Canis lupus familiaris: one gene and its partner. The protein of the gene in region 2 purifies or fractionates together with the protein of the main gene of each other region. This does not show direct contact. Links are inferred from orthologs where the notes say so. Each region holds a gene or a part of one and is shown on either strand. Other genes may lie near its edges.

What was found. The genes of interacting proteins can lie anywhere in the genome.
Region 1: the proteins of SF3A2 (region 2) and SNRPD1 purify together in Homo sapiens (affinity purification with mass spectrometry; 4 studies listed by BioGRID and IntAct, with this or other methods). This does not show direct contact. The link is inferred for Canis lupus familiaris from reciprocal best matches to the Homo sapiens genes SF3A2 and SNRPD1.

The regions. Positions count from the first base shown.
Region 1 is NC_049228.1:66,463,539-66,465,945, forward strand, and holds part of SNRPD1 (small nuclear ribonucleoprotein Sm D1), read right to left. Parts: intron 1,249-2,407; coding exon 1,057-1,248; intron 1-1,056. UniProt on the Homo sapiens protein: Plays a role in pre-mRNA splicing as a core component of the spliceosomal U1, U2, U4 and U5 small nuclear ribonucleoproteins (snRNPs), the building blocks of the spliceosome.
Region 2 is NC_049241.1:57,268,042-57,272,427, forward strand, and holds the start of SF3A2 (splicing factor 3A subunit 2), read right to left. Parts: upstream 2,910-4,386; 5' UTR 2,814-2,909; coding exon of another isoform or gene 2,720-2,813; 5' UTR 2,471-2,719; exon of another isoform or gene 2,363-2,470; intron 2,296-2,362; exon of another isoform or gene 2,129-2,295; intron 1,913-2,128; exon of another isoform or gene 1,809-1,912; intron 1-1,808. Other genes in the region: PLEKHJ1 (pleckstrin homology domain-containing family J member 1), read left to right, coding at 2,720-2,813, 2,910-2,977, 3,432-3,498, 4,049-4,139, 4,211-4,274, 4,353-4,386. UniProt on the Homo sapiens protein: Component of the 17S U2 SnRNP complex of the spliceosome, a large ribonucleoprotein complex that removes introns from transcribed pre-mRNAs.

The DNA of each region.
Region 1 (2,407 bases), on a different chromosome or scaffold from region 2:
TCAGGCTATGGGTTGCAACCTAAATTTTTTTTTTCTTAACTAAAAGAGCATAGAAAACATATAGACATTTGCAAGTATTAAGACTAATTCTTCCTGAGATTTTTGTTTTGGTTATATGCATGAATGGGCCATGATGCAAAGTATATTTCTTTTTTTTTTTTCTTTTTTTTTTTTTTTTAAGATTTTATTTATTCATGATAGTCACAGAGAGAGAGAGAGAGAGAAGCAGAGACACAGGCAGAGGGAGAAGCAGGCTCCATGCACCGGGAGCCCGACATGGGATTCGATCCCGGGTCTCCAGGATCGCGCCCTGGGCCAAAGGCAGGCGCCAAACCGCTGCGCCACCCAGGGATCCCAACAAAGTATATTTCTTAGTGGAAAGAGGGCATAAAAGTCTCAAAATCAATGTATTAAGTGACTGTCTACAAAACACCCAGCCCTTTCTCCTGCTCTACTCCTATAATGCTGGCTGCTAGGCATTATCTCCTACAATAGATGAGCAGAATCTTTTTGTGGGAGGGGTGGGGAGTGCAAAGCTTCAGAAATGACTCTAGATCCTGAAATTTTGGGTTTCCTCAGTGAAGAGGCTAACTCACTTCTGAACCACCCTACAGTGAGACTCAAGCTTATGGGTCCAGCCTCCCCTCCCAGAACTTCTCTTCCTAGGATTCTATTATTTAAATAAATGGTCAAAGTACAAGATATTCAAGTCAAGCCTACAACATAAAGATCAAAGAGAGCAAATTTGGGAAAGAGAAAGATCAGTCAATCAAGAAACAAACTCTTAACTATGTAAGAGAACAAACTGATGGTTACTAGAGAGGAGGGGGATGGGGAGATGGGTGAAATAGGTGATGGGGGTTAAAGAGTACATTCGCCACATATCAAACTGTTGAATCACTATGTTGTACACCTGAAACTAATATAACATTGTATGTTTACTAACTGGAATATAAAAACCTGAAAAATCTTGAGTATGTCTCTGCCTCTATCTGTGTGTCTCTCATGAATAAATAAAATCTTTAAAAAATAATGTTTATAATCCTTCAAACTTACCAGCTTCCCTTTTCTTAGATTTCACCTTTGGTTCAACATCCACAAGTAGTGTATCCAGAGGTAAGCTGTCTGGTAGAATGAAATATCGAATGTTATTTCCTCGAATACTCAGTGTTTCCAGCTGTACTGGTTCTCTATTCTTCAAAGTCATTTTCACAGCTTTAAGATGTGTATTCATGCTGACATCTACACCTACAGGGGAAAAAAGAGAGAGCTTATTAGCATGATAAAGAAGGCAACCAGTAAATCTATCAAGCCGAAGTAAATAACACAATACAAAAGAATACTGCCCATTCTGCTACACTCTAGGACACTGCCTATTCTGTAAGACTCTAGGACACAATTTAGTACAACTGGTTAATGGGTGAATAATGTCAATATAAACCAAAAATCCTTTCTTCGGAGATTATCTCTAGTACATTAATGTTTTGCATGATTAGGTATGCTTACAGATGTGAATGCAGCAAGCCACGGAGGAACCCTGAGTGATACCTGACTCATTCCCACTGTGCCCAGGTATTCTCATCTCAGGGCGTTCTCACTATCTCCATAACTTCCTTATTCCCCATGTCACCAAGCTGTTAAGTCTTGTTTTATTTTTTATTTTTAAAGATTTATTTATTTATTCAAAGAGAGAGAGGCAGAGGAAGAAGCAGGCTCTATGCAGGAAGCGCGACATGGGACTCGATCCCAGGTCTCCAGGATCACACCCAGGGCTGCAGGCGGCGCTAAACCTCTGCGCCACCGGAGCTGCCCCTGTAAGTCTTGTTTTAAATAAAAGATCCTATATATATTGCAGTATTTTCCTTGTTACTAGGAATTTAACACATCTTTTTAACTGCTTTTTGAAGGAATCTTACTGTTTTTAGTACTTTAATTCCCAAGTTGCACAAGTTTTGAATGCTCTGCCTCAAACTATTTTTCCCATTGCTTTTAGTGTGAGATTTTGTAAAAGAAAAGCACAATTTTCTAGAATGAATATTATGGCATTATCTTAGAAATACCCAATTATTGGAGCCTTTGCCAATATATCTGAACAAATGGGTAACAAAAGACCTAGTTTATTTCTATTCCTACAAAGTTAGACCAGAAAACATGAATTCTCTTAACTTTCCCAACATCTACTTCAAATAGCAATTATGGTCAGTGCCACAGGGTCACTAACCATGTTACTGAAACCTCATATTATTCTGATTTCCTTTAAAGCAATTGGTGTCACATACACAAATATACTCAAATACTATCAGTTTAACACTGTATTTCTATTGGTTTACTCAGATGCTGGATCTACATGTTAAAAAATTATTTATAAACTTATAATATTTCAGAGACCAGGACCACATGTTGTGAC
Region 2 (4,386 bases):
CCTGGCGTCACTAGTCAGAGAAAGCTGCAAAGCAACAGCACAGTGGGACGGAACCTCATCCGATCGGGGCTGCTGTTCCCACAAAGAAAACAAAGGCAGTGTGTGCTCCCCAGTTTGGCTGGGACCCAGGGGCCAGGACAGAGACATGCCCTCACTTCCTGTCACCTGTTCTAGCAGTGACATCTCCAGAACACCCCACTGACCCAGCGGTGGGGAGCCAGTAAGAGCCATAAGACTGACTTGGAAAGTAATGTGTTAACAAAGCCAGGAGATCCCCCCCCCCACCCCATCTGGTGAGGATTCCAGTTCCTTGTTAAGCCATCAGATAAGCCCCTCAAATGCTAGTGGCTGGCTGGGGCAAAGGCAACACGGGTGTTGCAAAAAGGGTCCACGTTTAGAGTGACGGGCTCAGGAAGACGGAACGCAAACACTGAGCTGGTCACCAAGTTAAAGGGAAGCAGTAGCCACTGGAGACCCAAGGTGCCAGTTGCTTGTAGCCCACTGCAGAGTGTTCCTGGCCTCCCCAGGGGAGGTCATCCCCTACAGGAGCCCAGGGGCCCTCACCCGACTGCCTGGGTAGGTTTTACAGTCTCAGAAGAACTGAACAAAGGGCCGCTCCACTTAGAGGGGCAGGCACAGAGGGAGAGAGTTGGAGAGCCAGGGAGTGGAGTGAGGGCCAGGCTGTAAAGAAGGAATTCCATGAACACCTGCCCTGCCCCTGCAGCTTGCCCAGAGGGTCCACCTGGAGGTCCCCAATCCAGGGACACAGTGAGAGCACGCTAGAAACGGTATTCTCAGACACTGACAGTGGGAGTCCCCTGCACCCCCAAAGAAACCTAGGCCTGTCTGGTTTCCTAGGCCTGCTGGGCAGTGAGACTCGCTAGGTTAGAGTCTGGGAACTCAAACACAGACACATCCGCTAGCCACCCCCCACCCCCCCAGGCAATGTTAGCATCCTCCTTAATTAGAGGGTGAGAGGGGGGATCCCTGGGTGGCTCAGCGGTCAGGGCGTGATCCTGGAGTCCCGGGATCGAGTCTCACGTCGGGCTCCCGGCACATGGAGCCTGCTTCTCCCTCTCCTCTGCCTTTGTCTCTGCCTCTCTCTCTATATATATATCTATCATAAATAAATAAAAATTAAAACAAAACAAAACAAAACAGGGTGAGAGTTACTACACCTCCAATGCAGAGCACGGCACCAAAGGTTAGCAAGGGCAGTTAAAACCCAAACCCAAGACCTTTGGAAACAGCTGAACTTAAGAGCTTGCGGGTACAAGTCAAACCAACCTTTTACAAAGAAACGCAAAACAGGGGGGAAAGTAAGAGAACAGGACTTAGATGAAATTTCAGAGCGAGAACAGCAAGAAGCATGGAAGGCATCCTCAAAGAAATCTGAAAGCATTCCCAAAGAAAGGGAAACAGCCCGGGCCCGGGGCTTGAGAGAATCTCATTGTTCGGACGGAAAAAAGGACAGAGACCCCCGTGGACAGAGACCATCGGGAGGCGCGGGTGGCTCAGGTCGTGACCCCAGGGTCCCGGGCTCCCCGCTCAGCAGTCAGCCTGCTTCTCCCTCTCCTCCCCCTGCTTGTACTCTACCTCCCCCTCTCTAATAAACAAATACAAATCTTTTTTTTTTTTTTAAAGATTGTATTTATTCATGAGAGACACACAGAGAGAGGCAGACACAGGCAGAGGAGCAGCAGGCCCCCTGCGCGGAGCCCGATGGGGGATTCGATCCCGGGACCCCGGGGTCACGCCCTGGGCCGCCTGGGGGCCCCAAGAGGGATGCTCAGTCTAGAGCTTGTTACCCTAAATTCTCAGCACGCACGTTCGCGGACAACCGAAGTCAACGTCAGCCCCGGGACGCCAGGGCGCGGGCCCGTCGCGGGCGCCCCCTCGGCCTCCCCCCCCCCCCCGACCCGCCGCCAGGGACCCCACGGCGCCGCCGGGCCCCGACCCGACCCGCACACTTCCGAGGAGGCGGGACTCGTCGGGCCCGACCCCGCGCGCGGCCAGGGAGCTGGGGCCCGGCGGCGCCGCGAACCCGAGAGCCCCCCGCCCCCCGCCGCTCCCGTCCGGGGAAGCCAGGGCCCCGGGACCGCCGCGCTCGGCCAGCCCGGATCCTCACCCCGCGCGACTCCTCACCCCGCGCCCGCCGCTGCCACGAAGACGTTATGCGCAGGCGCGTCGCGGGCTACAGAAGCGCTTCCGGGGGCAAACGGTGGGGTCTGGGGAGAGGGGTGAGGGCTTCCCGTGTGCGCATGCGTGCTTCGCCAGGCGAGGCGGACCTGATGCTCGAGAGGGCGAGGAAAGGGGGCGGGGCTGGGAATAAGGGCCGGAACTCGGGAGTGCGCGTGCGCACCAGGCTCTCCACGCCTAGCGGGCGCCGGGCCGGTTTCCGCGGGAGGGCGGGCGTGGGCTCGTCGGTAGAGGGCGCCACGGTCGTGAGGCTGCCTTCCTGGGTTCCCACCTCGGATCCAGCTGACTGCGTGGTTATTTATAACGGCCGTCCGTGTCGGCCGGTATCGCGTGCTCCCCCACGCGGGCCTGGCTTAGCGCCGCGCGCCGGCCAACACCACAATGCGTGTCTCGGGGCCGCGCAAGCGCAGTGGCCGCGACGGCGCTTCCGGGACGGCACTGTAGGACTTTTTTGGCGCGAGAGGGGACGGCGGCCGGGAGGGCGCGGCCCGCGCTCCGCGTTTTGGGTCCTGGCAGCGCCATGCGCTACAACGAGAAGGAGCTGCAGGCGCTGTCCCGGCAGCCGGCCGAACTGGCGGCCGAGCTGGGCATGCGAGGCCCCAAGAAAGGCAGTGGTGAGCGGGCCGGAGCGCCGGGCGGGCGGGCGGGCGGGCTGGCCGGGCGGGGGTGGGTGGCGGCCGAGCCCGCGTGAGCCCGCCCTGTGCCCGCAGTGCTGAAGCGGCGGCTGGTGAAGCTGGTGGTCAACTTCCTCTTCTACTTCCGGACGGACGAGGCCGAGGTAGGCCGACGGGCGGGGGTCGGGGCCGGGAAGAGAGCGGGGGCCCGGGGGGCGGGGAGGGCGGGGCCGGGGGAGGGGCCGGGGGCGGGGCCGGGACAGGTGTCGGGGCCGGGAAGGGAGCGGGGCCTGGCGGGGGGAGGGGAGGGCGGGGCCGGGGGGCGGGGCCGGGACAGGTGTCGGGGCCGGGGAGGGAGGGGGGCCTGGGGGGGGGGAGGGGAGGGCGGGGCCGGGGGAGGGGCCGGGACAGGTGTCGGGGCCGGGAAGGGAGGGGGCCTGGGGGGGAGGGGAGGGAGGGGCCGGGGGCGGGGCCCGGACAGGAGTCGGGGCGGGGGGAGGGGCCGGGAGCGGGGCCCGGACAGGTGTGGGGGGGGGCGCGCCGGGCGGGCTTTGGGGTCCGGCGGGGGCGGGGGCCCGGGTCCCCACGAGGCCGGTCCCCACTCGCCCCCTCCCGCAGCCCGTCGGAGCCCTGCTGCTGGAGCGCTGCAGAATCACCCAGGAAGAGCCCAGCGGCTTCTCCATCTGTGAGTGCCGCGCCCGCCCTGCCCCTTCGGCCCGGCCGCGGGTCTGCGCGGAGACAAAGTCCACCCTTCCCTCGGGCTGCCGGGGTGCAGCTCCTCTAGGACCTTGTCTCCTGTTGGGCAGTGCTGCACTGGGCTGCCGGGCCCTGCTGTGGGCGCCCTGGGGCTGGAGAAGTGACGTCATTGGGCCTGCGGGGGATCCTTGTCGGGGAGGTTGTCCCAGGCGAGCCTGGCTTCCGGGGTGGCCGGCAGCTGGCAGCGCCCTTGCCTCTGCAGAAGGACTCCTAGGGTGTTCGTGTCCCCCCTTCATGTTCTCGGGGACGTCCTGTGCCGCCTATTCTCCCCTGACTTATTAAGTAGCCGCACTCTGAAGGGTTCTGTATCTGGGCCACAGGCTCTAGGGTTAGGACTGGAACTACTGTGTGGGGGGCACCATTCAGTCCACTCAGCCGCTGGGAGTCGTCTTGGCCTGGAGGAAGGTGGAGGCCCGTGGGGGGGCTTCGGAGGGGGCGGCGGGCAGTGAGATGGGACAGACAGACCGCTCCCTCCGCAGGCTTCATGGAGGACCCAGAGAGGAAGTACCACTTTGAGTGCTGCAGTGAGGAGCAGTGTCAGGAGTGGATGGGGGCTCTGCGTCGAGCCAGGTGAGGTGTGGGCCTGCCCAGGGGCTGGGGAGGGGGGGGCCTGAGTGAGCACATTCCACTTTCTCCCCCAGCTACGAGTTCATGCGGAGAAGCCTCATATTCTACAGGAATGAGATCCAGAAGATGACTGGCAAGGTGCGCAGGGGGCAGGGGGCAGGGGGCCGGGCAGCGGCCTCTGGGGCCCCGGCTCATGCTGCTGGTTCATCCACACAGGACCCCCTGGAGCAGTTCGGCATATCTGAGGAGG